Linked DNA regions of Mus musculus: all the other regions are reported to be linked to region 1. Evidence: microRNA targets listed by miRTarBase, many of them from high-throughput screens and not tested one by one. Region 1 holds a microRNA gene; each other region holds the end of a gene's coding sequence.
What was found. The annotated mature microRNA mmu-miR-804 reads UGUGAGUUGUUCCUCACCUGGA and lies in region 1 at 2,140-2,161, shown strand. An mRNA with a match to its seed (bases 2 to 7 or 8) in the 3' UTR can be bound and repressed. Matches are read on the target gene's strand: a 7mer-m8 pairs with bases 2 to 8, a 7mer-A1 pairs with bases 2 to 7 and ends in A, and an 8mer does both.

Region 1 (4,431 bases):
TATTCCACGTATGATAAAATCACAGTCTTCGCCAATAGAAAACAAAACAAAGAGTGTGGGAAAGCAGAACCTAAGGTTTGGAGAAAAATCCAAGCGCCCTCTCCCGCACTGCCCAAGCGTCTCACGCGCTTTAACTCCCCCTCCTACTTATCTCTGCCACACGCAGCTCCACCCAAGGAAAACCCGGATGCTCAAGGGAAGTGGACCACCCGGGCCACCAGGGCGGGGCGGGGCAAGGCGAGGCGCGTACTCGCGGCCCTGCTTTAGGTACAACTTTATTGCATCACCGCGACTCCAGAGCGCGCGGCTGGATTATAAGTACTCCCGCGCCCCTTTGCTTGGGCATCTTTCTCTTCCAGGAGCGCGCCGGGGCCGCAGGGTTGTTATCCGCGTCCACCTTCTTCTCCAGCAGTTGCATGCGCGCCGTAGTCTCTGTTAGCATGTCCATGAGCAGTTCTTGCTGCAGCTTCAGGTAGTTATTCTCTTCCAGCAGCACCTGGCTCTTAATCGGCTGCACTTGTGGCTTCCAGGCCGGGATGGTGGAGGAGGGCAGAGGCGTGCGCGCGCTTGCGCGCTTCCCCTCTGGGGTCCAGCGGCCGCCGCGGAAAACGAAGGCCTCGTCGCTCAGTCGGGTGCGCGGCTCGCCGTAGTTGAGCCCCAGTTCGGCCTGTCGCGTGCGGTGGTCCAGCAGATAGAAGGTGGACATGGATGAGATATGGCGCAGCGGTGGCCTCCGCGGCGAGAAGCGGCGCGAGAAGTGGTCGACCCAGAATTGCCTCACCTGTTTCCACAGGCGGCCCGCTTGGCTCGCCGCCAGGCACTCAAAGGCCTCCAGGGTGAAGGTGGTGTGGGCCACGCGGGGCGCGCGGGTGTCTGGAACCCTGATGTTCTGGAATGGTGAAGGCGAGCCAGTGGCACTGCTGGAAAGCAAATGGCCTGTGAGCGGCCTGCTCAGGCTAGACTCTGCAGTTGTAGGCTAGTAGGGGAGCCCATTCCTGCATAGTCACACCAGCCGTGTTCACCAAAATTACCTCCCCGGGACCCTTTATCTAGGATGTAGGTGTGTAAGAGATAATGTAGGGCTGGGCAGTGATGGCACATGCCTTTAATCCCAGCACTTGGGAGGCAGAAGCAGGTGGATTTCTGAGTTCGAGGCCAGCCTGGTCTACAAAGTGAGTTCCAGGACAGCTAGGGCTACACAGAGAAACCCTATCTCGAAAAACAAACAAAAAAAGAGATAATGTAAAGGCCCAGAAACCACGTTCTCTGAAATGCTGGAAGAGACCACAGGTAGGGGGCCACAAGTAGAGATCAGTAGCCAAGCAAGTAGGACAGGCCTTTTCTTGCTGACAGCTGTGAGGCAAAGGGCTGTCATGTTCCAGATGCATGAAAGAGCCGACAAATAGGATTGGTTCCGAGAATAGCAGAAACGTAGGCTAGAAAGGTGAGCCAGAGGGCATTTTTCGGTACAGTACAGGGAAATTGAACATTGTGGTTGTCATTCTTTAAGGGAGGCTGCTGATGGCTGCAAAGTCAGGGTTAGTGTGAACTCGGCAGAGCATCTGTCTGGTGAGATGTCTAGCACATTCTAGCACTGGCACCTGCTCCATGCCAGGTCTGGCCTGCACAGAGGATACCACAAGCACAGCCTTTGTCTATCCTCAAGATGTTCCTGGTCCAGCTGGAAAGGCGTGTATTAACATCCAGTGTAATCAATGACATCATAGGACAGACAGGTAGGTGCCTTAGCCTAGACCCATACTTAGCTTTCAAGTAACTAGAATGCTGCACACTAGAGTTAACTTTTGTTCCTAGCCAACTACTGATAGGAATCTAAAGCCCAGATAACTACCAGAACCCATCTTACTTGCTTCCTAACTCTTCTCACAACACCTATAAAGTGCTGATTCTACAGTGTGGTTTTTCAAATACCTCTCCTGCCATCGAGGGCAGGAGTGAAAACTGCTGTCGGGTTTCCTTTGCCACACCTTCATTAAACCCAACAGAATTGTGCAGGTGGGCAGAGACAGGTGTTCTCCCCCACCCCCTGATTTAACTCATGGAGCGAGTCTCTGGAAGTCCCTACACATCCATCTTTGAGGTTACAACTTCCCCAGTAGACTGTTTCCTGACATTCCTTGTGAGTTGTTCCTCACCTGGAAGATGTGGTGGCGGTGCCCAAGCTGCTGTCCCAGGCCTGGCCCCATTTCTGGGTTATGGCACCCACCTGTCTGCCAGCTGTGACTCACAATGCCTCCCTGCCAGGCCTCCTAGGGTAGAGGTGGTGTAGACAGTGAAGTGTGTTCAGTTACGGGAAGTTTCCGGAGCATTGACTGTGCTCCAGGCACTGTTCTGGGGGAGGGAAGACGTTCAATCATAAAATCGCACCCCTCATTTTGTTTAAATCTTTGTTTTGATTTAGGTCCTTTTGAGACAGGATAGCCCAGGTTACCCTGTAGCCCAGGCTAGTAAGAATCCTCCTGAGCCAGTCAGTGGCAGCAGGTGGGTTTCAAGAGTTCGAGGCCAGCCTGGTTCAAGGCTGCCAGGGCTACACAGAGAAACCCTATCTGGAAAAACAAAACAAAACAACAACAAAGGGATCTGCCTGCTTCCTGCCTTAGCCTTCCAGCCGGATTATAATCATATGTTTCTGGCTTCTATGTGGAAGGTGGGAGTATGGGTAGTGTGACCTCTGGCCAAAAGCTAACCTCCAGTATCTTCTTGATCACTCTTCACCTTACTTGTTTGTTTACTTATTATAAACATAAAGGCAGGGTATCTTTATGGAGTCCTGGCTATCCTGGAACTAGCTCTGTAGACCAGGCTGGCCTCAGACTCACAGAGATCCACTTGCTCTGCCTTAGAGTGCTGAGATCAAAAGTGCACCAACCTGCCTGGTCTTCCACCCTATTTTTTGAGTCAGAGTCTCACTGAACCTGGAGTTAGCAGAGTCAAAAGGCCAGCTGGCCAAAAAGCTGTAGGGATCTTCTACCCCCACCTTTGCCAGGGAAGTGTCTTCTTGGAGTTGTAGTGACATCAAAGGTGAGAGAGAGCTCCCAGAGATGCACTCTGTGAACAAGGTGGGAGTTGGGTACCACTCGACTTCTGGCCAGCTATGAAAGTCATGTGTTGTATTAATGAAGATAGGGCAGAGGGATCTTACTCATTCTGTCTCTCCCTTAAGTTCCAGACAGACATTGCTGTACCCTGCAGATTGTGTGTGTCAGTGTCCCGTGTCAGCACTGGGGTTAGAGATGCAGGCTGCCACACTCACTCAATCCCATGAGAACTGGGGTTCTGCACTCAGGGTCTCAGGCTTGTGCAGCAGGCCCCTCCCTCACTGAGCCATCTCAGGCCCCTTACTTGGGTTTTTGGAGACCTGATCTCACTTTGTTAGCCTAAGCTGGCTCAAATCTCCTAGGCCTAAGTGATCCTCCTCCCATCTTAGTCTCCTGAGCAGCTCCAGCCTATAGGCTGTGGCACACAGTACCTTAAGCCAACATTCTTGGCAATGGGGTGGATGGGAGGTGAGCATAAGGAATCTGGTATTGCTCTAGAACACATGTAGATTGCCCTCCAGGAATTTTAGTGCAACCTTAGTCCAGAGTGTAGCAATGGAAACTTTTGGGGGCAGATTGAGCCCAGGGCTTCCTGCATGATATTTGTATACTCTTCCAGTAACTTTTTAATTTTTTTCAAATCCTACTTTTAATGATTTTTTTAAAGATTAATTACTATACATAAGTACACTGTAACTGACTTCAGACACACCAGAAGAGAGTGTCAGATCCCATTACAGATGGTTGTGAGCCACCATGCGGTTGCTGGGAATTGAACTCAGGACCTTTGGAAGAGCAATCAGTGCTCTTACCCTCTGAGCCATCTCGCCGGCCCTTAATGGTGGTTCTTAAATGCTTTAACCTCCCTTGTAGCCCACCACCCACCAGAAGTAGTGGGAAAGAAAGGATTCGGGAGAAGTGGACTTGTTTAGAAAGGTTCTTTGGAGCCACTCCCATCTGGGTTGTCAGGAAATCAGCAGTTCAGTTCACTGGTCAGCAGCGGCAGCTCGATCCACTCACAAACACTTCACAATACACCAGCAGTCTAGTTTGGTGGAATGAGGATAGCAAACACGAATCGGGCATGACCTAGCAGAGACAGCCAGGCCTCAGCCTCTGCTTGAGTCAGCAGGAGGGACAAAGAGGAAAACCAGTTCTTGGCTATGCCTCTCTCAGGGAAGTGAAGATGAGGGCAGACTCAAGACCCACAAGCATTGCACAACTAGCTCTGTAAGCAACCTAGCTAAGCCTCTGTCACTGCTAAGTCTTACTTATCTCCTCCAAACATCACGTGTCCTCCACAGGTCTTGCCTCAGCATGTGTCTTGCCACAACAGATATCACTCTGCCAATCAGCCCAAGGCCAGGGAAGT
Region 2 (4,427 bases), not on the chromosome of region 1:
GCTGAAAAGTCTCCAAGGAAGGAATATGTTAGAGACGGTGAGACCCCCCAGTGCTAAGACGGAGAGGTTCACCTACCATCATGAGCTCAGACAGGTGCCTTATGATTATATGAAGCTACCAGTAAAGACGAACGTCTCCAAGGGGGCACCCCCTCATAACATTCAGGTATTTGTGGGCAGTGCCTATTTTGTTTTAAGTCGAGCATTTGTTAAATATATTTTCAACAGCTCCCTCGTTGAAGACTTTTTTGCCTGGTCTAAAGATACATATTCTCCTGACGAGCACTTTTGGGCCACCTTAATCCGGATACCAGGAATACCCGGGGGAATTTCCAGTTCATCTCAGGACGTGTCTGACCTGCAGAGTAAGACCCGCCTGGTCAAATGGTTTTACTACGAAGGCTTTCTCTACCCCAATTGCACTGGCTCTCACCTTCGAAGTGTGTGTATTTACGGAGCTGCAGAACTACGGTGGCTCTTAAACGAAGGGCATTGGTTTGCTAATAAGTTTGATTCTAAAGTTGACCCCATCTTGATGAAATGTCTGGCAGAAAAACTTGAAGAGCAACAGAGAAAGTTGATTGCTTTGTCTTCAGAGAAGTTCATGACAGAGGGAACCCGCCAAAGCCACACATTATAAGCTGACTAAGGGCCTGAGGGTGTCTGTTACAAACAGTTAAGTGAGATGGAATTACACACCCATGTCCTGCCCAACAGCATCTGAACTTAATAGTTTTTCCAAGGATGAAACTTCTACGGATTTCCATGCCTGGACTTCGAGCCCACAGTTGGCTGGTGTTTAAGTGCTGAAATTGCTTGTCGTCTTGCTAAGTCAGATATGTTAAATGTTCAGTGATATCACATTTATTGAACACCTAACAGCGCACCAGGCACTTTATAGAAAGACACCCAGGAGTTAAGTCTAAGTTGCAATGACTTGTGCCCTCAGGAAGCAGCCTTTACCCTCCTAGTGTGGCAACTGTTGTGTTTCTTATTTCTGTGTAACGAGGGTGCTACTGAAGCCAACTTTGGGGTGTGTGCTAATCGTACAAGCCATTCCCTCTGAAAAGTGTGGGAGTGTGAAGCCAGCCCTCCCCTTCTCTCACTTTAGCAACTGAGACCTTTTTAAATCGTTAGAATATTAGGAGGAGGGATTCCACTACCTCAGAGAAGCTCAAAGAATGGTCCGATCGCCTGCTTGCCAAAGTATAATTTACCTTTTGGTGCCTCACTTTTCTGATTCAGGGTAGAGGGAGTGCTGTGGTGTGATGCTTGTAGGGTATGGTTCTCTGAGAAGGCAGAGGGGCGGGCGTGGGTGGATGGGGACAGCCAGTGCTGGAGAGGAACACAGGCTCCATTCAGCTTTGCATTTGTTATACAATGGTGTCACAATTGGCTTTCTTTTTAATTCACTTGTTTCTTTAAAACACAGGTACTGATAAAGATAAAACTGAGAACTAGTTCAAAATGTCACAGGCCAGAACTCCAGGCCTACACCTGTCATTTCATCAGGTAACATTAGAGCTACAATTGTATCCTTGCCGCAGTCCAACACTTCTGACAGGGTTCATAGTTCTATGTAACCGCCAAGTCAGTAAGCTTTCTTAGAAGGACTTTGTGAAATATGACAGCTTTCTCGGTTGGTTATTGTGGTCACTTACTCATTTTCCTTTTTTAAACGAAAATGGAGTCAAAATTCAAAATTATTAACACTTCCTGTTAGTGCAGCATTTTTCTCAACTGAGCACCAAAGAGAATATTATTACCCTTATTTTACAAACACCCACACTTAGAATCATTTTACATGCACACACATACACATGCACACACATACACATGCACACATGCACACATACACACACATGCACACGGATGGGGGAGGGGCAGAGGCACCTTGAGACTGAACGTATTGTGTATTGTGCTGCTGAGCCACAACCCTGAGAACAGGCTGCAACATCACACCAGTCTCTGTGGAGGGTAGGACACATGTAAAAATTCCTTGTGTTTTGATATCAGCCCCAATAACTAATTATGTGGTGATCAATGCCAAAATCAGATTATTTGAAAGACTGGAGTACGTAAATATCATTTTACACTTCTGTGCTCTGCACGTGCCATGCTCTTGGTGTATATAATGGTTCGTAGCACTAGCTGCCCTGTGGCCCCATTTTGCTCCATTTCTTTATCTTTAAGTCACCTTGCACCTCTTTCAATACCCTTTGGATGCTTTTGTTCCCAGGGAAACGTCTGTCACCAACTTTCTATCCTTAGATGATGAAGTATAGAGGGTGGCTCGGCAGTTAAGAAAATGTGCTGCTCCTGCAGAAGACCCAAGTTCTGGTCCCAGCACTCACACCAGGTGGCTCCCAGCTGCCTGTAACTCCAGTTGTAGGGAAACCAGTGCCACCTTCTGGCCTCCAGTGGCACCTACACCCATCAGTGTGTACACACACACACACACACAAATGTACTCACACATACAGGCTTGCACACGCACACCTGCACACAGATGTATTACAGGTTTTTAGGAGCCTCACAGAGAATCTGCCCAGGTCTGTGGGTGGGTGAGACCTAAGAAAACCATCCTATCGGCCTCCATGGGCTCTGCTCTCTGTGCACTGAGCACAGGCACTGAACATGCTGTCGTTTCCTCGGAGGCTCTCATGAGCTTCAAGGGAAATGTCACATGAAGGGGAGACAAAATTTGAACTATCAGTTTGGTGACAGTGTCAAGATAACCAGGTCCATTGTGAGAATTGAAAATGAGCCTTTAAACCACAAGAGGCCAGAGTTGCAGGGGAAGCTCTGCCACCAGATTCAGGGCTGAGAAAAAAAAAACCCTGTCATGGCATTTGGAGTTTCTTGTACAGCCAACAGCATAGTAGCATGCAGATTAGAGAAACGTTGATAACCATGCATGATCAAACTCAAGGACTTCGGTCATCAAGGAGAATGTAAGGGCAACATGCAGCAAGCATCTACCTTGTCCCCTGTCTTTCTGCAGAGAAAGGCCCCTGTTCTCTGGTATTAGGAATTGTCTCAAATTGCTGCATGCTGCCCTGCTATTTTCAAGTGGATGATGGGCAGACCAAGTGGCATGCCTTCCTTCCCCCATGGACACATTTCTCTGGACTCAGAAACGTCAACCGCTTGTATTTCAGAGAGCTCGCCAAAGCACTGGCTCTTGCCTTGGGAATCCTGCAGGGTCTTCAGAATTGATTCTGGCAAAAACCGTTTGCTATGAGCCCTCCCCAAATCTCAGAATGTACAACACTGTTTGATAATTGTTCTCTGTATAGTATTTATTGAATTAGACTCTAATTTACTTAAAGGTGAGAGTTTACGAATTGTATGTGAATACTAGAAGAAAAATGAAGGCTGTCAAAATATGTGAGCAATCGTATACTGTACCATAGACACTGTATATCGAAAAGCCAGTACTGCTATTTTTTTCTTTTGCCTACTTTAAATAATAAAACACATTGAAAGATTAAAGACTTTAGGGCTAGAAAGATGCCTTAGCAGTTAAGAGTACTGGTCACTTGTCCAGAGGATCCAAATTCAATTCCCAGAATCCTCATGGCAGCTTACAACCATCTGTAACTCCAGTTTGAGGAGACCTGGTGTCCCTCCTCTTCTGGCCTCAGAAAGCACAAACACACACATGGTAGACTGACATACTTGCAGGCAAAACATGCACATAAAATAAGTTGAAAATTAAAGCTGTCTCTTGGCTTCCAGAATGTGAATATATACAGGCTTAAGTATTTCATGTGAAACGAATGTATTAAGTATATTCAAATTGTTTCTGTGAATGGTACAATGTTTTCCTTGTCACTCTCTATGGCTCCTTTACCGTGTTGTCCTTGTCCCTTACCATTTTAGTAACAAATCTCCCATGTATGGGTTTTGAATAGTGATTTTTTTTGTTTATTTAAATTATGTTAGTTTTCTGGCATTGCAAAATAAAATGTGCTCCTCAAATCCAACTCCTCGGACTTGTGAGCTTTCCTGCCGCTGGGTGTGCTGGTCCCCAAAGTTCATTTTGTCTGTAGCAGTGGCCTAGCAAACAGAGTCCATTTCACAGGAGTGTGAAGGAATCACAGTACCTCGCTCTCAGAGTATAGACACGGGAATGGAACAAAACACACAGGAATGGAACTCGACTCCTTATTTGGCGACATCTCGGGATCCTCTGGGGCTGGCCTGTTGCCCGTCTTTACCTTAATCTCTCATCCAAGATTATTTATTATATATCTGGGTCTCTAAGATTATTTTGATGGCCTGATAACTTTCTGGAAGTTCCCAAGAGAGGTCTCTACATTTTATCCCTTTAACCCTTGGAAAATGTTTTTATCTTCTCTCTTGGAAGAGCTCTTTGTTGAAAGTCATGCAGAAGTAGGGCTGGGCACCTACTGGTAACCCCC
Region 3 (4,431 bases), not on the chromosome of region 1:
ATGAAGCTAGGCTGCGTTTCATGAGACGATGCCTCAGAATAAAAACAGAAACAAACGAAAATAAATTTAATTTTTGTGGTTACATGTGATAGAGAATAAAAGTATAATTTAGGACTGGGTATAGTAGTTCATGCCTGTAATCCCAGCCCTCTGGAGGTCAAGGCAGAAGGACTGCCTCAAGTTCAAGGCTGGCCTGGGCTGGAAAGGAAGACTTTGTCTAGTACAGAATAAACACAGAGATTAGAAACAGAGGGAGGCTACACACTAAGGAGCAGTGTCTGAGTGATTGTACTAACACACAGTGGCAGCCTGTCCTAGTTTGCTTTGTTGCTGTGGTAAATACCATGGTCCAAAACAACCTGGGGAATAAAGAAAGGGCTTGTTTCATCTCACAACCCCCCAGGTTACAGCCCCTCAGTGTAGGAACTTGGAGGGATAAATGCAAGCAAAGACTGTGAAGGAATACTTTTTCTCCTCCTCCTTCCTCTTTCTCTCCCCTCCTCTTCCTCCTGTTCCTCCCTTTCTCTTCCTCCTCTCCTCCTTCCTCTTTCTCCTCTTCTTCCTTTCTCTTCCCACCCGCTCCTTTCTCTTTCTCCTCCTCCTCCTTCTTGTTATTGTTTCTCAAGACAGGGTTTCTCTGTGTAGCCCTGGCTGTCCTGGAACTCACTCTGTAAACCAGGTTGGCCTCGAACTCAGAAATCTGCCTGCCTCTGCCTCCCAAGTGCTGGGATTAAAGGCGTGCGCCACCATGCCCAGCTCATTTTGGGGTTCTTTAAAAAACTTTTTTAGACAGTTTCTCACCTGGAACTCTGTAGAGAAGGCTGGCCTCGAACGCACAGAAATCTGTCTGCTTGTCTCTTGATGCAAAACCCCACTCCCACCTGGGTCTTGCTATATTGTCCAAACTGGATCTTAAGTTTCTGGACACAAGTGTTCCTCAGACTTCAGCTTCTCTGGTTGTTGGGACAAATGAGGACAAACTATGCCTTGCTTGATAGTCTGTGTGTTTGTGTTTGAGTGGGATTAGTCAGGGAACTTGTACATGAGTGGTATTAGTTATAGATCTTGTGCATGCTAGCCAAACAGTCTATACTGGACTACAATCCATTCCTCTGAATGACAAACTAAGATCCAAAGTGAGTTATGGCCAGGCTTGTTGGGCACAGGCATTTAACCCCAGCACTCAGGAGGCAAGAGGCAGGCTGGAGCTATGTGAATTCAAGGCCAGCCTGGTATACAAAAAGTTCTGGAACTTACTCTGTAGACCAGGCTGGCCCCAAACTTAGTGATCTGTATTTCTCTGCCTCCTGAGTGCTGGGCCACCATGCCTGGCTGAGAAAAAAATAAATTTTTTTAAGTTCCAAAACCTAGCAACCACAGTGTACAGGCAGTGGTTTGTAGACCTCCACAGCTACACATGCAGGTGTAGCAAAAATAGAACCATCTCTGGTATTTTATTGGTTTTAAAATGTTCCATCAACAAAAATGTCCTTTTCCTCTGTGTGTGTTTGAGTGTGCCTGTGGTTTGAGACAGGATCTTGCTGTCGCTCACGCTGACCTGGATTTTGTGATCCTCCTGTCTCAGCCTCCCCATGCCCTGATAACAGGATGGCTCAAATATACTACTTTCATGAAAGATTAAAACATCTCTACAAAGAATAACTGCAAGGGACCGGGGCTGTAGTTCAGGGGATAAAACATTGCTAAGCAAACACACAAACCTGAGTTCAGGTCCCGGGCAGCAGCTGGAGGCAGTGACTGGCTTTTGCTAACCCTGCTGCTGCAGGGAGGGTGGAAAGAAGAAAGCTAAGGGGCCCCTGGCTGGTGTCTAGATGAAACTGAGCTGCAGGCTGTGAGAGATCTCATCTGGAAAGGAAAGGTGGATAAAGGAGCTTGCTGCCAGGCCGGACAACCTGAGTTCCACACTCAGGCCCCGGATGGTGAAAATACAGAACTGCTGGAAGCTGGCCTCTGATCCCATGTGCACAGAAGCACATGCACACGTGAGACCTAAAGAAATAACTGTAATCTAAAACAGAAGGTAGATGAGCCAACAGTAAATTTCACTAAGGCTGTTGGTAGGATCCTGGGTAAGACTCCTATAAAAAAGAAAGTGGACTGAAAGTTTTCCTGGCAGAAAAAGAAAAAAAAAGAAAAAGAAAAAGAGAAGGAGAAGGAGAAAAAGTATCTGACTTTTCAAATCTAAGACTATGAGCCTTTTGTCTTTCTTCTCTGTGTAGCCTTGGCTGTCTTGGAACTTGCACTGTAGACCACAGGTCTGCCTGCCTCTGCCTCCTGAGTGCCAGGACTAATGTTAATGGCATGCACCACCAGCACATGGCCCTTTTCTTGCCTGAACATGTCTGTGTACTGAGTGTGTGCCTGGTGCCTGTGTACTTCAAAAGAGAGCATCCAATCACCTAGAACTGGACTCCTACGGAAGGTTGTCAGCACTCAAGGATGTGTTGGAATTAAGCCTGGTCCTCTCTGCAGGAGCAGCCAGTGCTCTTTAGCAGCTAAGCCACCTCTCCATCACCAGCTACTTGAATGTTTTTGATTACATTTGTGTGTGGGTGTGCACACATGTGGGTGCAGGACTCAACCAATCCTGTGGAGAAACAGGACGGCAACAGGCAGGAGTCGGTTCTTTCTTTCTCCCATGTGGGTCCTGGAGAGGCCCCCACAGCATACACAATAACAACAATAGTAAGACAGAACTATAGCAATATAGAAGTAGACTAGGAAGGAGTTAAGACGAGTAAGAATCAGAATCACAACTGAGTCTTTTCAGTCTTTATTACCACACAATGCTGGCTCACACCACCATTGTAAACCTTGTATATCAATGGCAAAACAACACAATTTAAAACATATGAAGAAAACAACAAATAAATAAAGGAATAAAAAATGTTTCTCTAAAAAAAACAAAAAAAAAACAAAAAAAAAAAAACAAACAGCCGGGCTTGCGTGTTATCGCACGCCTTTAATTCCAGTACTCGGGAGGCAGAGGCAGGTGGATTTCTGAGTTTGAGGCCAGCCTGGTCTACAAAGTGAGTTCCAGGGCAGCCAAAGCAACACAGAGAAACCCTGTCTTGTATTGAAAAACAAAACAAACAAACAAACAAACAAACAAACAAAAAACAAAAAAAAAAAACAAAAAAGAAAAGAAAAGAAGAGAAAAAAGAAAAAAAAAGCAAAATATTATGAGTTGTTTTTTGACCTTTCCTCTGAAAAGCTAATTTATTCCAGTTCCCTCTTTTTGAGTGGAGGGAGGACTTGAACAAATCTCCATATTATCCTGGGTCTTTCATTGGAAAAGCCTATCAAGAAGATGAACAGTCAGGTTTAATAAGGACCTTGCAGGCACTTAGGCGGGAAGTACAGGGTCCTGAGTTCCAGGGTAGCTAGTTTATGTAGTGAATTCCATGGTAAAACCCTGTTGCAAGAAAAAAGAGACATTACCAAGTGAAGGAAACAGTTGAAAGGAACCAGGTCTCGCCATCATCTTCTGGAAGGAAGTGGGCCCGGCTGGCAGCAGTACCTGGGCTACTTTCGAAGTCTCTCACCTCCCAGGTGGGGACAGGCCTAAAAGGCCGACAAACTTTCTTCATCACATCAGCCTTTTGGGGTCTATTTTTTCCAGGTGAACCAGAGGTTTGAGCTGCTCTGCAAAGTTCCTCATGTCATCAGAGACCATGTCCTGCCCAGCCGGGGCGACAACACTTAATTCCACAAGATAGGAGAGGGACAGGGCCTCGGTGCTGTCCGTGTTCCCTGGGACCAGGATTCGGAAAATCTTGTACACCACAACCTTCATGATGCCCTTCCGAAACAGGTGTCCTTTGGCGACAAACTCATGGTCCATGCGGAAGCCCATCTCCATCAGGAAGTCCGTGAGGTTCTCAGACGTGGCGATGTCCACACAGTTGCGCACCAGGGCGTGGCGGTTCTTGTCTCCCATTTCGGGCTGTCCCAGGTATCGCAGATGCCAGGGTGCCCCTGCCCTGTCCATGGAGCGCCGGGCCCTTAGGACGAACGGGCTGGCCTGCTGGCCCTTAAGCAGGAAGACCATCTCGTGATCAAGGAAGGTCTCAGGCTCCATGTTGTCACACAAACCTCGGAGGCGATGGATGAGGCTTTCCAAACTGTGGTCCAAAACACTTCCTGAAGAGGCACAAGCACAGTGAGTCCCGGCTTTCATTTCATTTAGGGTCATGAAACCAGCGAAAGATACACACACCAAATAAATAGTTCTATGCAACGTTTTCTAAGAACAATCCATGGGATTCTATTTATTTGTCTATTCAAAACGTTTTATATTTAGTCATTCTTGTCTCGGCAAACTCGAGAATACAATGGCACATAAATGTTGGTTGGAGGATAACCCGCTAGAACGGATTCCCTGTGGGTCCCAGATTGAACCCAGGTTGT
Region 4 (4,431 bases), not on the chromosome of region 1:
AAATTGCGTCTCTTAGGGGCTGGAAAGATGGCTCCATTGTTAAGAGCACTTGTTGCTCTTCCAGAGAACCCAGATTTGGTTCCTAGTACCCACACATGACTCACAAGTGTCTGTAACTGGAGTTCTAGGGCATCCAACTCTTTTGACCTCTGAAGGCACTTAGCATGTGCTTCACATACATACTCTCAGGCAGACATACATAGACATAAAATAATTTTTTAAAGAAAGGGTCTCACTATGTAGCCTATGTATAAAATGTATATATGCATACATATATACACTATGTATAAAAATGTAAGTAGTGTTGATTGACTCTGTCATCTTTTTTTTTTTTTTTTTTTGCTACGCCATATTTTATAGCTATCTTGTTCTGGCTCTACAGTGAGTCCTGGGAATCCAAGGGCGACTTGCCCTTAAACTCCAAGTCTTGTTAGAGAGTATAGAGGAGACAAAACAAACAGTGGCAGTGTAGAACAGTCACCGTGAGGTCACACACACAATAAGCACTTCTAGGAAGCTTAGCCCAGCTTGGAGATAGGGCTGATCAGAAGAGGGAGAAGTCTGGAGAAGTCTCAGGGAACCCCGAGGAACAAGTGTATCTTGAGGATGAGACTGTGAGTGGTAAGCACTCAAGTTCAAAGCTAGTACTAGTGTGCACTCCATTGCTATGAGTGATTGTTTGGGGGTGGGTAGGGGTAATGGAGGAATGCTAAGTTCACACAATAGAAGGAAATTATTATTTTAGTACTCAGAAGACACAAAAATACTTGGAATCCTTCGAGTCTGAAATCATGAGAAAGAAACTATGCTGGGGTGATCACTTATAGGTGAATGGATCTCCTTGTGAGGTTGACAGGTGTAATGGCCTGTTTTGTTGAATGATTAGACGTGTAACTGAGCCGATTTGGAGGTTGGTATGGGCCAAGTTAGTGATTTTATTTACGTGTGGCAGGCCTGTTGGCTAAGGCAGCTACCCAGAGATTGCCTGTATTTCTCCCTCTACAGATAAAATCGCCACTAAGTTGTCTGACTCCATGATGTCCATGCTTGACCTCTCTGGCAACTCCGATGACTGTGCAGGTGACTGAGCAGCTGACCTTCCCCCTCATACTGCAAGTACTGCTTCCCGTGCGATGGGAGAGTCCAGATGCCTTTCCATTCTCCCTGATGTACTTAATAGGAGAACACCTCCATGTCATGTATCTTCTGCTGCCGTGCCCTCCATTCTTATCAAAGGTCTGGAGCTGCCAAACCCTACTACCCTCTACTTAATCCTTCCTGTCTTTGAAAATGACCTTGTGTTTGTTTTGTGGTGCCAGGGATTGAACATAATAGGTTCTCACAAATGTTAGACAACCATTCTATTACCAAGCTGTAGTATTACCATCATTACCATCCATCATTATCATTGGGGAGTCTGCTTACTCAACCTCCCAAGTACTGGGATTACAGGCTTTTGCCACCATTCCCAGCTCCCACTGTGTTTTCTAAGGTAAATAAAATCAGCAGACTCTTGGCATGGTGGCAACATATCTATAACCCTGACACTTGGGAGACTGGAGCTAGGAGGACTGTAAGTTATGGGCCAGCCTGAACTATCTGGCAAGACCCTTTCTCAACAAAACAGCCCAAAACAAATAAGCAGAGTCCAGCTGGGCATACACCTTTAATCCTAGCACTCTGGAGGCAGAGGCAGATGAATCTCGTGAGTTTCAGGCCAGCCTGGTCTACCGAGCAAGTTCCAGGATAGCCAGGGCTGCATAGAGAAACTCCGTCTCGAAAAGTGAACAATAAAACAACAAAAAGAATTTGTAATTATTTAAAAAGCAAATAAGCAGAGTCCAAGTGCTGACAATGTACCTTGGACTCTAAATTCCTGTGTCGTACCCTGTGAGTTAGGCTGATAAGGGTTAACCTTTTGGACAGGTAAATGTCCTAAAGGCTAGACTGCTGAGAAACCTGGTAGCAGTGGCGGGGGAGGTGGCGGTTGTCCCTGGATGGGTGATCCTTTTCATTTTTATCACCCTACAAGATCTCAGTGCCAAGGCTCTTGCCTGTGTATTTTCCAAATCAATAGCTAGCTCCTCATCTGGGTAGTGTAGGAGTAGAGAAGGATAGTGTGAGTCTCCTGTCTCTGGAAGTGTCTGGGGATAGTGTAGAGGATGACGATTCTAGAAAGGGTATACCTATCATAGTAAGTTGGAAAGCCATTGGCTGCAGGATGTTCAGGAAATGTAGACCGTACCTGTTTTCTGGACGGTTAGGGGCTGAGCACAAACTACTAAACAATGAGAAACAGTTACCACCTTTAACTTTCACTATATCCGTATCAGGAAGGGGTAAGGCTCAGAAAGCCGACAGAATGTGCTCATGTCAACAGTAAGTGGTGGTGTGCTAGATGTCAAACTTGAGTCTAATTTAAACCTTATGCTAGCCTTTTGGTTTGCATTATTTTGCCTTTTCAACAAGGGCACACCACTCTGGTATTTTCTGTTGTCATATATTTAAAATATATTTTCTCTACTCTGTTTTTTATTTTTATTTATTTATTTATTTTTTGGGTTTTTCGAGACAGGGTTTCTCTGTATAGTCTTGGCTGTCCTGGAACTCACTTTGTAGACCAGGCTGGCCTCGAACTCAGAAATCCGCCTACCTCTGCCTCCCAAGTGCTGGGATTAAAGGCGTGCGCCACCACCGCCCGGCTCTGTTTTTTAAAAAATGGTAGTATTTATTGAAAAACTATGCTTTCTAAGTCTCTTTAAATGATGTCCAACTTAATTCACTGATCTCATCTTAAGTTTTGCTAGACAATAATATATTAGAAATAAAAGTATCTAGATTCTTGGGAACATAATCATGTCAAAATAAAATAGAACTAAAACCAGGTGGGTGGCTCACACCAGTGCTCCAAGCACTAAGAATGCTGAAGCAGGAAGATGTCTGAAGCTGAGTCCAGCCTGGGCTGCAGAGTAAGAGGCAGTCTCAGGGCGAAACAAAATAATGTGGGACTTTAGATATTCTAACTCTAATGTATCTCAAGGTTGGGGGTAGCATGCGCACGCACGCACAGAGAGAGAGTTTCCCCCATATAACCCAGTGTGGTCCTGAACTTTTTAGGCCCCCCCCCCATTAGCTTTCCAAGTGCTGGGATTGCAGGTGTTTGCTTTCATGCCTGGATATTTCTTTGTTCTTAAAACAATTTCTTGGGTCTTTACTCTCCCCTTAAAAATCATTTTTATACAATAAATCTCATCCTTCATGGTTCTATGGTTCTGTAAGTTTAGACACCTTTTTTTTTTTTTTTTTTTTCCGAGACAGGGTTTCTCTGTGTAATCCTGGCTGTCCTGGAACTCACCAGGCTGGCCTCGAACTCAGAAATCCGCCTGCCTCTGCCTCCCAAGTGCTGGGATTAAAGGCGTGCGCCACCACGCCCGGTTATTTAGACACCTTTTAACAGGGGTGGCCTGCCATCATAATCAAGATAAGAGAATTTTGTGGCATTTCCCCAAACTTATTGTGTCCTCTTGTAGTATAGTCCTGCCCCCATCCTCAAATCCTAGCAGGCACAGACCTCTTTCCTGTTCCTTAATATAAGTGTCGTAAGTCACACGGGGGCTTATTTTATGGCATTAAGCTTTTAGCTTTTTCCTTTTAGATCTTACATTGAAGTTAGATGCAGTTGTATAAGCTCGGATAAATGGATAAAGCCGAGTAATCATTAATACAGGACAGAAGAGTTCTATTAGCCTCTCCTTTACCATTCCTGGTAATTTATAGTCAAACCTTGTTCTCTCCCTGACAGTCACGGACTTGTGCTTTCACTTTATGGCTTGTCTTTTGAAAAGAGTTGTAAGTGGAATTTAATAGTATGTAACTTTTGAGATTAATGTGTTATAAATTATAGACTTGAGATCCATATCACTGGATGTATCAATAGTTTGATTTCTGTTTCATATGCTATTGTGTGGATGTCTTATTGCTTATTCAACCCTAAGTTGGATTACATTCTTTACAGTTGAGGAGGAAGTTATAAATAAAGCTGCTAAAAATCCTTGTGTGAGACTGTTTTCATTTCTTTGGCATTACTACCTAGAGTTGGATTGCTGCAATATATGGTAAGCATATGACTAACAATCTAAGCAACTGCTGAACTTCTTTGTTCTCTTGATGCACATTAGAATATTATTTTGCCTGCATGTGTGTCTGTGTATCATGTACATGGCTTCCTGTCCACAGAGGCCAGAAAAGGTGTCAGATCCCATGGAGTGAAATTATAGATGGTTGGTTGTGAGCCACACACACACACACATTATCCACCTGTTGATGGATATCTTGGCTGGTCATCAGCTTGTCTTTTGTAAACAATATAGCGACAAACATGAATGTGCAGCTCCCCCTGTGCTCTCCTTACTTGGATTCCTTCAAGCATAG
Region 5 (4,394 bases), not on the chromosome of region 1:
CATCTCTCCAGCCCCTTCTTAGTGATTTCATAGGTGATAGTCTAGCTCATGCCTACAGAAGCCAAGATATACTTGGCCATTGGGTATCTGGTCCCTGCCCAGGAGCAGACCACTGCCTTTGTAGGAAGGGGTCTGGCAGTACGTGGGTGACAGGCAAATCCAATGCCAGGCCCGCTTGTTCTGCTTCACAGTTTCTGCTCTGCCCTGCAGCCCTAAGGGACTTCAAAAGTGGCCTGGGCCGCAGCAAGCTGTGCCGTCCATATTGAAATTCCCATCCCCTGCTCTGCCAAGGCAAAAGGTGTGTTCATGTAGTACACTGACCTTCTGCCCATTCTCCTTCAGGGTATTGAACGCCTCCAACGAACAAAACAGCCCAGGGAGCAGTCGGGCAGCTGGAAGTCGGTCCAGGAGGCTTTTGGTGGGAACTTTTCCCTGAACTGGTTCAACCCTTTCACCAGACCTTGTCAACCAGAGACACCCATTGATAAGGGCTTGGTACGTCAAGTGTCATCTCTGTCAGACGTGGACAACATGGAAACAGCTGAGAGCCAATTGGAGGCGACAAAAGACAGGGACTCTGTGGAGGTGCTGGATGAATAGAAGTCATGGAGGATAAGACACCAACAGTGGCTGCTACCCTGATGAGTGTTACCAACTCTGTCACCCCACACTTTTTTTTCCATTAGGATTGGGGTCGGGGGATAGGAAGGGCAATAGAGGGTACAGGAGAGTAGGGACTTTCTCTGAGTTCCTCTTAACAGGATGTGCCAAAAGTGATCCAGCAAAGGAAATGGTGACCAGGATGTCGGGGTGGGGGATCCACTTCTGCTTCTTGAGGGCTGTCTTGGGGAGGCTGGGGATCTTGGGGAAGGAATGCTCTAACATCAAGGAAGACCAGCCTGGAAGGCTAAAGAGACTCCAGCCATTTCCAGGAAAGGGATTCCTTGGCTGGCTGACTCGAAATCAACAAAGGAGGGTATGCTGAGCCTGCGGTCAGGGCTTGGGCTTGGTTGAAAGAGCACCCTACATGCATGCATGCATACACACGTACAGAGTCTACCCAAATGGAAATGAGCCTGAGTCATGACAGTATCGCCATCCTATAGATACGAGACTCTTCCCTGAGACAACAAGGCAGTCAGCCTTTCTATAGCCACAAGCATGCATCCTAGAAGAGCTAGGTGAAGACATATATTGAACTCCTGGAAAAAGTCTGTAAGACATGGGGACAGGTGCAACCAGAAATGGCCTCCTTTGCATTTTAGAGCAGCGCCCAAAATGGTGCCTCACAGAAAACTGCATTGCTAGTCCTAATGACATGCCTTATTCCCAACATTTAGAGCTGGCAACTAAACCTCTGTTGCTTTGAGGAGAACCTGGTCCACATGGTTCTGGCTACATAGGGAAACCCTGTCTTAAAAACAATGAAGAACTGCATGGTGGCCAGGACATGCAGACTGTTAAGCCAGGAAGACCCCAGGCACTGCTCTCCCAGGATGAGCTTGGACCTAGTCTGTCCACTGGAGCTTGAGGTATCTGGCTGTTACTGATAGTCTGGGCAGGCTCCTGCACTCCCCAGTCCATTGCAGTGGTGGCTGAAGCGGCAGCTTCTGCAGTCTAACCAGTTAGATAGTCTCAAGAAACACACCCAGCTCAACTCACCCCTTGAACCATTCCCCAGCGTGGCTGCCACTGACCCTGGCAGAGGATTGTATCACAGCTCCTCTAGCTCTGCAAAAGGGCAGGAGTCCTGGGCCAGTGGAACCTGTGACCTCCATGACACGAGTCAATCGAGGTACTGTCTCAGGACCCTGAGAAAGGAAAGCTGTGGGGAGCCAAGTGGTGGTCTGATTCTTGGGCAGCATCCTAGGTAGTGCCACAGTGTCAGCAGGACTTCAGCATTAGCAGATGTGGCCTACTCCACCCCACTGCAAGTGCACTTCCTCCAAGCAGGTCTGCTTTAACATTTATCAGCAATAACATGAGGAACCCAAGTTGTCCCTAATCTTGGCACTATGTGGAAAGACCTGTAGGGCCTCCAACCCCAAACAGACCTGGACGGCCCAGGTGCTGGACCATAACCAGAGATTCCATACCAGGGAGAAATCAGAGCTAGTGACTAGGTCCCCAAGGAGCAGCAGTTAAATTAAGGAAGGAGCTTTGGAGTCAGGATTTGTTAACTGAATGTCCTGTACATTGAGGCTAAAACCAGTCTTGCTTGGGGACAGCTTGACCTGCAGCAGAGATACCTCCCAGCCCACAGCCATTTGTTTCCAGAGTGCTTTTCCTGGAAAGGTTGAAGTGTGCATTTTGCTCCCAGTTTTAGGTCCTCCATACTCCTCAGCTAACCCATTACCATGTCAGGCCTCAGCCATATTTCTTCTGTGTACTGGACAGCCAGGATCATGTAGGTAGTAGTCTGTCCAGCCCTGGGCCTTGTGCCTTCACACCAGAACCCAATGGCCTTCTCTCTATGGCAACTCCTGAGATTCTACTCAGCACTGCAGCTGATAAGAGGAGGCCCAGTGTTTCTGGGCCAGAGGCTGCTTGCACACCTGCCTCTTGCTTTGAATAATAGTTCTTTGGTCTACCTCTGTGGCTAGAGGCGCCAATTTTTTAGCAGGAGATCCTAGCCCAAAGCCTTGGACAACGTCCTTCCTCTCAGGTCTAGTGTGTAAAACAAGTGTCACAAACACTAACTGATCCTCCATGGCCCCAGCATAGACAGAGGTTATTCTACAAGCATGTACCAGACATCTGCACGCCACAGAGGTGGGCATCTGGGCAAAAAGGAGTCAGGACTTGGGGTTTTCTGGTTTCAAGAATGAAGGAAAGATGACAGGTTTTAAATTAACTTGACACAAGCTGAAGGTATTTGAGAAGAGGGAATCTCAATTGAGAAAATGCCTCTGTAAGATTGGCCTTTACACAAATGTGTAGTGCATTTTCTTGATTGATGTAGGAGGGCCAGGCCCATTGTCAGTTATGCCACCCCTGGATGGAAGAAAAAAACATGACGGGCAAGTTATGAGGAGCAAGCCAGTAAGCAGCACTCCTCTGTGACCTCTGCATTAGCCCATGCCTCTAGGGTCCTGCCCTAACTTCCCTCAGATGCAATTAACCCTTTCCTCCCCAGGTTGCTTTAGGTCGTAGTGTTTTATCACAGCAACAGAAACCCTAAGGCAAGAATGGCCTTTAAATACACAAAATACCCCTTATTCAGTGTGTACTGAGTATCTCTGGAACACATGTCCACTTAGAATTACAGCCCTTGAGAGAGGTTGACCATCACGAAGAGGACCCAGACCAAGAAGGCCAACCTGGATCCATGAAATTCAGAGGCAATGAGGTTAAATTAAGCAGCATGCTGGCATAAAAGAAAATTTAACTCCAGACCACTTAGCCATCTTAAAGTTGCCAGAGTTTAATTCAAAGCATAGTGGTATGTGAGCAGATACCTTAACAGCAGAGCAAAGCACAGACTCCCGAGAACAGGGCAGGATACGTTGCTTCTTCAGATGTTGTCACTGGCCATAGACTCTTACTTAAAAAAAGGGTCTACCTCCCATGGCTCATCCAGAGCAAGAGGGCCTCACGCCAGCGTGGGGCCTGCTTCTAAGAGGACAGAGCCTTGGGATAAGAGGGTGTAGTGCCTGACCCAGGACCAGCTCCAAGATGCTTTCTATAAGACTTCCAGCACAGCCTCCAGGCACCCCTGGACTTGATAGAATCCATGGTCTAGATGGAAGATGCCTCCAGCCCTTCTATATCTGGGCTCTGTACATGGTTCTGAATCCAGATGACGGTGGCACTGTCTTCTGAGGCCACAATTCCTAAATATGTATTTGAAATGTTTGCCTGTGACATGTGCCCAGGTTCTCTGGCTCCCTGGAGCTACTGCCTGTGGTGACATCGGCCTTTGAGCTCTGTCTTGCTGGGCTGGCTCTTGAATGTGCCTTCACACGCATAATCAAATTTAACCATCCCTGACCTGAAAGCTAAATGCAATTTAGAAAATGTTAACATGCTTAGCCAAGGCTCAGAGCCAATCAGGGCTCCTGCCTCCATCTCCATGGTATCAAATGTGCTACTTGCTGATGAGAACGACCTTCTCGGCATGAACCTCTTTCACTTGTCTGGAAATAAACTTGACAATGAATTTCTGGGGTCCAGCTTTCACTGGGGTGCATTCCATTTGGAAAGTGATGGTCTTTCCAGGTGGCACTGTCCTAGAAAATTCAAAGGCACACAGTCAGCCAAAAGTGCCACAGAGAGAAAATCGCATTGCATGAGGAACCAGGCAGGCATCCGGTTCCAGTACAGATCTTGGGAAATCCCTGTGCTGCAGAGCCACTGAAGCAGGCCTCCACCTGGAGGGTGGCCACTTGTCTCAG
Region 6 (4,369 bases), not on the chromosome of region 1:
TTAGAGGTATCTGTCCCTGGTGAGCTGACCTTGTTGCTTTGCAACTTGTAGCTGTGCATCACGGTGGCATCTAGGAAGCAAAGACCTTGCACCAGGCCCCACCTCCAGAAGCTGCTATCCCTCCAATAGCACCCCAGACAGAGGGCTTAGCCTCTAGCATGTGCTCTGGGGGACCCTCCAGATACAGATTGATGCAGAAACATCTGTGGAGTGGGGGGGGGGGGGGAGCTATCCTGCAGTCAGCCCAGTGGGGGCCCCGCTGTGTCCAGTGTGGGTGTGAGGGACAGTGAGGCCATCTCCGTGGTGACTGGGGGAGCTGATACTTGAGGATGCCCTCTGTACAGGAATGCTCAGCAGGTGGGCCATTGCCTGTGTCTCTGTCCTCTCTATAGGTGGCCTGTGAGAAAACCGTGTCTGCCATGCAGCACGTCCTACAGAGGACCATCCGGTGTGCAAAAGGTACCTGTCTGTGCTCTGTCTTCCACGGGAGTAGTCCCTGATTGGAGGTGGACAAGAGGGAGGGGGAGCTCTCCCTTCCAGCCTCTGCCTCCTGCTATGTTAGAAGTGAGGCAGCAGGGGGCAGTGTGGCACCCCCTCCTGAAGCAGGAATTCAGAACTATGGGAGAGGGAAGGGTGTCTTAGGTTCCATCCTGCCTGCTCTGATCTTCCCTGTGCTCTGCAGCTGAAGCAGGAGAAGGACAGAAGCCCAGCCCCGCTCAGCTGGAGCTGAGGATGGTCCAGAGCAAAAGGGACATCGAGGACCCCGAGATCGTCGTGCAGGCCACAGTGCTGTGAGGACCACACCCACTCGCCCCGACACACAGCCAGCTGAGGTGTCCGTCTCCATCCCTGTGAAAAGCTGTAACGTCTGCCTTAGAGCCATGACTGAAACTCGACATCCGTGTTCCTTCCCGAGAGTCGGGTCTCAGCCAGTCTCTAGCGTGAAAAATGTGCCATTGTGCTATTTTTTTAAAAAATGACAAAGCCGTCGTAGAAATGTGTGATTCACAACCATGGTCCCTTCCCCAAAGGCCCTGGGCCTCTGACTGCCTCATGTTGCCTCATAGGTATGTGGAAGGTAGGTGGAGGAGACCAGCCTGCTGCCTCTGGACCTTTCTGTTGGTCACTGGCTGCCATTGCCCCCTGTGTATGTATACACAGTCCTGATTGTGTATAGACTCTGCCTGTGTCGGCGCTGTCTTTAAAATGGGGTTAGGTCTTAACCGTTGGCATTGGAAGAATTATGCCAAATATCTTCTTTGCCATTCTGGTCTTTCCCTTGTTCCTGCATTAGAGTTTCTGTGTCTCTGCTGCTCTTTGGGTGGTGTCCCAGAATGTCAGACGAATGCAGCTGCTGGTCTGCGAGGGAAGGTTTCATATCCCCGTGCTTGCACAAGCATGCGGTCACTGTGACAGGGACCTTTTAAGGAACGGGAACATTCCAGGACATCTGCAAGCCGTCTGGGTGTCTGCAGGGTCTCCTGTAACTCTGGAGCTGAGTGCAGGGCAGCTTGGGAATTCAGGGAAGTTTGCCTCACTGGGCTTTTTTTTTTTTTTGGTTTTGGTTTTGGTTTTGATTTTTCAAGACAAGGTTTCTCTGTGTAGCCCTGGCTGTCCTGGAACTCACTTTGTAGACCAGGCTGACCACAAACTCAGAAATCCGCCTGCCTCTGCCTCCCGAGTGCTGGTATTAAAGGCGTGGACCACCATGCCCGGCTCTCACTGGGCTCTTGTGGGCACTCACACAGCCCCTGCAGGACTGTCAGGTGGCAGTTCACCTGCCACATGCTGCTGGGGACAGTGCATTGCTGCACAGGGGGTTGGACAGACAGGGAAGGAGAGACAGAGGTGGCTCCTGCCCCCTGGTGGCAGACTGAAGTGCGGGTTTTCTCCACTCCCCTCACCCTCATTTCTGGATTCTGTGCCCACCTCATGCTGAGGGGCCAGGGGCCCTGATGTGAAGCCAGGGCCTCTGCCTCCTTGGAAGGTCTTCTCCTCTACAGAGCACATTGGCATTGTGTATGCAGGGGCAGCTCTTAGACCCCAGCTGGGGACTGTGACGTGTCCCATTGTCTACTGCTCGGGGGTGAACTTCCTGGCTCTGCTTTCCAGAGTTTAGGGTCCCTAATCATGGCTGCGAGCCGCACCCATATCCCTGCTCCTCAGTCCTTAAGATATCTATCTTCTGAGAAGCCACAGCCTAAGGAGACCAGGGAGACTGGGAGAGGTGAAGAGTGCATTATGCCTACCTCTTCCCCAGAAGCATAGGGTCTCCATGGAGCTCTGAGAGCGACACCCTTTCCCCATTATGATGCCCCAGATGGAGGAGATAGATGCTGGTCCACATGGACCTGAACCAGCCCGTATTCTGAGGTGTCCGTTAATAAGCCTTTTACAGCTTTGAAGGAAGCAGAGAACTGGGCTCTCTCTCTCTCTCTCTCTCTCTCTCTCTCTCTCTCTCTCTCTCTCTCTCTCTCTCTCTCTCTCTGTCACACACACACAATGTAATTTTAAAAAGTACTTTGGTCATCAGTACCCCAGGACAAGATTAGCAAGCTCTCTGTTAAGGCCATGAAGCCTGACATGTGTCCAAACCTGGTGCCAATGTGGCACCTCTGAGCCCCAAGAAAAAAGAAAGCAAAGACAGCAGGCCCCTAGTATCCAAATCAGAATTGGCTTTTACTTTTACTTTATTTTAGTAAGGAAGTAATGTGCTTGGGAAGGAAGCTGCATTAGCCCAGGGTTAGCCGCTTCCTATTGGGGACATTGATTCTGTCTCAAAGTATCTCCTTCCACCTCCTGAATACTAGGAAGGAATCACCACACCACATATGACCAGTGCTCCCTTTTATTGCTGCTATCTGGGGTGCCTCTCTTCCAGACATCCACGCAGCTACCTGCACTGAGAGGTCCTGGAAAGCCATGTCTGTCCATGTGACAGATGGATGCTGACCACAAAAGCCACCAGTGGATGCTAAGAATGGGTGTCCCTCCAAGGGGCAGTTCTGGGAGGTCAGGTTCAATGTGAGGTTACAATAGAGCTGCAGTCTCTGTAGGGAAAGCGGTGAGTCAGGGAAGGCTTGAACCTGGTTCCCAGGTCTGAGTGAATGTCACTCCCCAACCCCCTGAATGATAGAGACGCACCCTGGGATGGAGGTGCGGCTGGACATGCATGTGCCAGTCCTGATGCTTTCCCACACTTTCTGTGACAGCTGTAGATGGTGCCAGTCCTGCAGAACCAGAGAAGAGAGGTTTCTACCTCCACTTGCAGTTTCAGTATCCACCAGCAGGGGTCGGGGTGGAGCCGGAGCAGTGTCAGAGGCCCAGGTGGATGCTGGTACCAGCAGATTAAACAGCAGCCATCCTGCTGGGAGATTTGGTGGTTGTTTTTTACTGTGTACATCTTTCTGTTGGGCCTCAGACTTGGCGTTGTGCAACACCTGACAGTAAGTGGGAGTCAGTGTGTCCCCAGGTCAGCCTGACATCCCAGGAAGCCATTGTGTCGTCAGCATGGCCAGAACTGACAGTTTGTGTTTCCTTGCTGACTCTGGTTTATTCTTGTGGCAGGCACCCTAGAGGCTGAGGCAGCAGGAGAGCTATGGAGTAAGACACCCACACTCACACCGCCCACCCACCCACCTACCCACTCTTGCCTCCTTCCTTACATCCTCCCTCCCTCCCTTCTTCCTTCTCTTCCTTTCTTTTTTAATTTCTAGTGGAATAAACACAATTTTAAGATTCCCCACTATTGAAGCAGGCAGAGGATATCCTCAGAGCAGGCGTCTCCATCTCCCTTGGATTACCTCCCTGCTTGTGGCTGAGCTCCCCTGGGCCAGCATCTCCTCATTCCTTCCCCTGTTTCACCATCAGGCAGTTTCTGGTCTTTGTGCAATAGGATACACATTCCAGGTGGAAAAGGTCTCCCTGATGCCGTGGGAACCCCACTCTGTCCCCGTGGGAACCCCACCCTGTCCCCGTCAGCTCTTGAATAGCCAGTTAGGGCTGCCTCTGCCCTGAAGCTACAGATGGGTGGGAACAGACATCCATGGCTGGAAGCTCCCAGAAGGCCTTGGGTATAACCTTGGCCATACCTCACTGCCCATCCTATAGAGCCAGCAGGTCCCATGAGACGTTGGGTAAAGCCATGACTGCACCTCATGGCCTGCCTTGCAGGGCTAGGCAGTGCCCCATGCAGGCAGGTGTAGGTGACTTGGACTGGGGGCTCTGGAAGCCTCTGAGCTGCCAGTTTCATGCCTGACATGGAGGATATGTCCGGGGGGGGGGGGGCGGTGACAGAACACAATAGAGGACATGGGCTTAGCATATCCTTCTCATATCCCACAGAGCAGGAAGATCCCCTCAAAGCTCA
Region 7 (4,431 bases), not on the chromosome of region 1:
ATGTCTCAGCCCACCTCTTTCGGTCTTGATTCTATGTTGTACTTTTCACATAGTGTACTTTTCACATACTTCACATAGCCCTGGAAGACAGGGCTGACAGCATTTACCCATTCACTCTTTCTCTTCCAGACTCCATGTTGGGCTCTCTTTCCCTTCTGTGGCTGGCAGCCATGACCACCTCCTTGGTTTCCCAACCTCAGATCTTGACCCTGGAAGACTACCAGGAAGGGGAAGAGGATGATGTGACAGTAGCTACACCTTCCTTAGCTGTCCGTTGCGACTATGACCGTTGCCGCCACCTGCAGGTGTCCTGCCAGGAGCTGCAGAAGGTTGGGCCAGTAGCCTGCCTGTGCCCAGGGCTCTCCAGGGAAGATCAACAGCCAGAGCCTCCTCGCCTGGGAGAAGTGCAAATAATGGCTGAAGAAGGCTACGCAGTGGTTCACTGGTGTGCTCCCTTCTCTCCAGTCAGCCACTACTGGCTTCTGCTTTGGGAAAGCAACGGGGCTCCACAGAAGAGTGCCCCTCTCAATGCTACAGTTCGAAGAGCAGAGCTGAAGGGACTAAAGCCTGGGGTTGCTTATGTCCTTTGCGTGGTGGCTGCTAATGACGCAGGTGAGAGCAATGTTCCTGGGGCAGAAGTCGAGGGTCCTGAGAACTGGACTGGCCCTTCCTTTGGGCCCTGTCGCAAGTTTATCATGCCGCCTAAGCCTGTTACCCTGGTCTATGCAGCCGTGGGAGTGGGCACAGCCTTAGCTCTGCTGAGCTGTGCAGCCCTGGTTTGGCATTTCTGCCTTCGTGAGCGATGGGGTTGCCCCCGACGTCAAGGTATGGCCCAAGCGTCAGAAGCTCTCTGACAGGAGTCCCCTCGACTACAAACAACTCATCTGGAGAGCCCAACCCACTCCCAGGAGGAGTGTGGGGCTTGTTGCCACCTGGCAACCAGAGGCACAGCCAAGCCAGAGCGGAAGCCCAGGCAATTAGCCTCAGCACTGAGGGCTTGGTTAGTCCCTAACTGGTCACTATGTTCCTTCCCTGTTGGGGGTTAGAAAAAGTAGCAATTATTCCTTGGAGGTCTGATGAAAATGATTTAAGCTTTATGGGTTTGAAGGGGTAAAATTACAGACATTATACATGAACTTATATATAGCCAGTTAAAATGGAGCTATTTAAAGGCCTGGCATGGTGGTTTACAATTTTAGTCTCCAGCACCCTGGAAGCAGAGGCAGGCGGATCTGAGTTTCCAAAGCAGCCTGATCTACATAGAAAGATTCCAGGCCAACCCAGATAATATAGTGAGACCCTGTCTCAAAAAGAGTAAAACAGAAGCAAAACAAACAAAAGGTGGGGCGGGATAGAGAGATTGTTCAGCAGTTAAGAATACTGGCTATTTTTCCAGAGGACAGAATTTTATTCCTAGCATCCACATGGCAGCTCACAACCATCTGTAATTCCATTTCCAGGAGATCCAGTGTCTAATTCTGACCTCTGCCAGCATCAGGCACATACATACGCACACATACATACATACATACATACATACACACACACACACACACACACACACACACAGAGAGAGACAAAACACTCATACACATAAAATAAAAATTAATTTGAAGTGTAGCTGTTTAAAAATGTAAACTGTTCATAGCTCATAGGTCTCTCACAGCAAGCAGCAGACTACATTTGGCCTGTTGGCTGATTTGCCAACACCTATCATTCTCAAAGGGACTTTGTGACTGTCGGTGGCTTCCCTGCATATTTTGAGAATAAGCTGAGTTTTGCCAACACCTGTTATTCTGAAAAGGACTCTGCGACTGTGGGTGGCTTCCACGCATATTTTGAGAATAAGCAGGGTAGATGTGGAGACTGGAGCTCTGTCTTTCTGCTACTTGTTGTTTCCTTCCTAAGGATGATCCTGCTCAGACTCCACCTGGGGCTATGGAAGCTGGGGATTAAAAATCAGCATGGGCTGGAGGAGACAGGGCCCAAGCTTCTGGCTACATAAGTTAGTGGTCTTGTTTGTTTTGGGGGTTTTTGTTTGTTTGTTTTTTCAAGACAGGGTTTCTCTGTGTAGCTCTGGCTGTCCTGGAACTCACTTTGTAGACCAGGCTGGCCTCGAACTCAGAAATCCGCCTGCCTCTGCCTCCCAAGTGCTGGGATTAAAGGCATGCGCCACCACCGCCCAGCAGTGGTTTTATTTGTAACTAACAGTTTATACCAATGACTCCCCACAACTTTGTGTAATTGTTTTTCCACTGTATTAACATTAAAGGGAATCTAAAATCATTACATTTTCAGTTTCATGATCTTGTTTAATTCCATATAGATTTTTTTCATTATGACTTAGACTTTTGGCCAAGATTAAAGGTATGACTATTTTTCAAAGTAATATACAGACTTTTGTGTTGTGTTTGTTTGAGACAGAGATTCACTGTATAGCCCTTTATAGTCCCAAACTCCCTATGTAGAACCAGTTGGCTTAAAACTCACAGAGCCTGCCTCTGCTTCCTGAGTGCTGAGATTAAAGGTGTGTGCCACCACCCTGGGCTGTTTTGGTGTTTGGTTGTTTGGAAACAAAGCTATTATTACCCAAGTTCTCAATAAGTGAATAAGGGAACCTAGGAAAAAAATTAAAGCCACCCCTGAAGTCAGATGTAATGGTACACAGACTTTAATCTCAGCACTTTGGAGGCAGAGGCAGGAGGATCTCTGTGAATTGGTGAAAAACCTGGGCTGCAGAGTTCCAGGCCAAGTAGGACTGACTACCTACCCAGTGAGGCCTTGTCACAGAATCGGTTACTTGCTCAGGTTTTCTTTGTCTATTATTCTCATTGAAAGTATCATTGTTTAAGCTAGGTGGTGGTGGTGCACCCCCTAATCACAGCATTTGGGATGCAGAGGCAAGCAGAAAGATCTCTGTGCTGGAGGTCAGCCTGGAGGTCCATAGAGAGTTTCAGGACAGCAGAGCTACACAGAAAAGCCTTGTCTCAATAGAGATAGATAGATAGATAGATAGATAGATAGATAGATAGATAGATAGATAGATAGATAGATGACAAATAGGAAAAAAGAAAAAGAAAAAGAAAGAAAGAATCATTGTTCATCTTTTAGCTTTAACACACACTAAAACTAGCACTGCTCTTAAGCAGGTATTTACAAACCTCAACAGGAGTCTTTTAAGTGCCCTCAGCACCGTGCATGTGGGTGACAGTGTGGCACTCACCTGGAGCACCACCAAGCAGCCCGTGCAGGTTCCAGTACACTTGCTTCTGCAAGCAGGGTTCACATGGTTTAGTCTAGCCCTGCTTTCCTTCCCAGGCTTTGCCTCAGCTACTTGGTGAGCATTTAGAGCATGAGAAAATAGCTCTATCATCTTTAATTAGAAAGAGCATGCATTCCCAGGTGAGTATGTTGGCTTCACAGTTAATTAAGAAAAACTTGTGCTGTTATGAGTTCTATATGGAAAGTACTGAGAATTTTGGTTTCTTTAAAAACACAGATATGTTATAGGAACACGTTTTTGTTTTAATCCCAGGTGTGGGATATAGGGCTGCTTTAGATTGTCAACAGCAACCAGCTATGATTTTTCTTGTGCTCTGGCAGCACATAATTCTGGGGACTTTTGATAGGGTATAAAAATGCCAGAGCCCCAAGAGGTTGCAGGGGCTGCTGCAGCAGGCTGATTCCTACTGTTGCTTTTGCTGTTTGCTGGATTGCTGGTTGGAGATATCCTGAAGATTGGACTTGTCCCAAGGAACTTGATGCTAATAATCAGCAGGAAGTAGTCTAAAGAGATTTATGCCTCTAGGCTGGAGAAATGGCTCAGCGGTTAAGAGCACTGACTGCTCTTCCAGAGGTCCTGAGTTCAATTCCCAGCAACCACATGGTAGCTCACAACCATCTGTAATGGGATCTGACACCCTCTTTTGGTGTGTCTGAAGACAGCAACAGTGTACTTGTATACAATAAATAAATAAATAAATAAATAAATAAATCTTTTTTTAAAAAAGAGAGCGATTTATGCCTCCTTTTCCCTTTAACCTTTCTTGTCTACCTAGTGTTGGGTTGAAAGGGATTGGGGTGGAATAAGAGTGGTAGATAAAAGAACCCATGGTAGCCAAAAAGTATAGTTATGGTAATAAGTGGCGCCAAATGGGCACTAGGCAGAATGGGAAACATGATTTTCCCTCCCCCACTACTTTGCTCCCAGAGAGGATTTTCTATTTCTTCTTCCTCTTCTTCTTCCTTCTCTTCCTCTTCCTCCTCCTCCTCCTCCTTCTTCATGTCCTGTCTCAAAGCTCAACAAAGGTTGAGAGAATGAATGACTGAGCAGTTTGAAAAGTTGTGAATGGTCTATCGAAAAACAAAACAAAACAAAACAAAACAAAACAAAAAAGTTGTGAATGGAAATGAAGGAATAAAAATGATAAA

Region 2: the mRNA of Gcnt4 is a reported target of mmu-miR-804. Seed matches in the 3' UTR shown: 7mer-A1 at 2,349-2,355 and 7mer-A1 at 2,470-2,476.
Region 3: the mRNA of Med18 is a reported target of mmu-miR-804. Seed matches in the 3' UTR shown: 7mer-m8 at 3,051-3,057.
Region 4: miRTarBase lists Gnl3l as a target of mmu-miR-804. Seed matches in the 3' UTR shown: 7mer-m8 at 2,606-2,612 and 7mer-m8 at 3,349-3,355.
Region 5: the mRNA of Zdhhc3 is a reported target of mmu-miR-804. Seed matches in the 3' UTR shown: 7mer-m8 at 1,656-1,662.
Region 6: miRTarBase lists Pdxk as a target of mmu-miR-804. Seed matches in the 3' UTR shown: 7mer-m8 at 1,621-1,627, 7mer-A1 at 1,739-1,745 and 7mer-A1 at 3,617-3,623.
Region 7: miRTarBase lists Lrrn4cl as a target of mmu-miR-804. Seed matches in the 3' UTR shown: 7mer-m8 at 2,090-2,096.

What each region holds. Positions count from the first base shown.
Region 1 is chr11:50,355,529-50,359,959 of GRCm38, reverse strand. Mir804 (microRNA 804) reads left to right here and starts at 2,081; the gene lies at 2,081-2,175. Cby3 (chibby family member 3) reads right to left here and starts at 2,199. Exons shown (of 2, transcript NM_029691.1): 1 at 2,157-2,199; 2 at 258-920. The coding sequence starts at 706. The coding sequence ends at 284.
Region 2 is chr13:96,946,926-96,951,352 of GRCm38, forward strand. It overlaps Gcnt4 (glucosaminyl (N-acetyl) transferase 4, core 2 (beta-1,6-N-acetylglucosaminyltransferase)), which reads left to right. Exons shown (of 3, transcript NM_001166065.2): 3 at 1-3,989. The coding sequence ends at 640. Among named protein-coding and RNA genes, the nearest start is that of Gcnt4, 24 kb to the left of the region's middle.
Region 3 is chr4:132,455,950-132,460,380 of GRCm38, forward strand. Med18 (mediator complex subunit 18) reads right to left here. Exons shown (of 3, transcript NM_026039.3): 3 at 2,780-4,164. The coding sequence ends at 3,611. Among named protein-coding and RNA genes, the nearest start is that of Med18, 5.8 kb to the right of the region's middle.
Region 4 is chrX:150,982,761-150,987,191 of GRCm38, reverse strand. Gnl3l (guanine nucleotide binding protein-like 3 (nucleolar)-like) reads left to right here. Exons shown (of 16, transcript NM_198110.2): 16 at 1,006-4,059. The coding sequence ends at 1,088. Among named protein-coding and RNA genes, the nearest start is that of Gnl3l, 32 kb to the left of the region's middle.
Region 5 is chr9:123,066,567-123,070,960 of GRCm38, reverse strand. It overlaps Zdhhc3 (zinc finger, DHHC domain containing 3), which reads left to right. Exons shown (of 7, transcript NM_001372538.1): 7 at 343-4,394. The coding sequence ends at 600. Tgm4 (transglutaminase 4 (prostate)) reads right to left here. Exons shown (of 14, transcript NM_177911.4): 14 at 3,403-4,229. The coding sequence ends at 4,088. Among named protein-coding and RNA genes, the nearest start is that of Tgm4, 34 kb to the right of the region's middle.
Region 6 is chr10:78,437,227-78,441,595 of GRCm38, reverse strand. It overlaps Pdxk (pyridoxal (pyridoxine, vitamin B6) kinase), which reads left to right. Exons shown (of 11, transcript NM_172134.2): 10 at 393-459; 11 at 683-4,369. The coding sequence ends at 795. Among named protein-coding and RNA genes, the nearest start is that of Mir6410, 4.6 kb to the right of the region's middle.
Region 7 is chr19:8,851,526-8,855,956 of GRCm38, forward strand. It overlaps Lrrn4cl (LRRN4 C-terminal like), which reads left to right. Exons shown (of 2, transcript NM_001013019.3): 2 at 130-2,384. The coding sequence starts at 135. The coding sequence ends at 854. Among named protein-coding and RNA genes, the nearest start is that of Lrrn4cl, 3.0 kb to the left of the region's middle.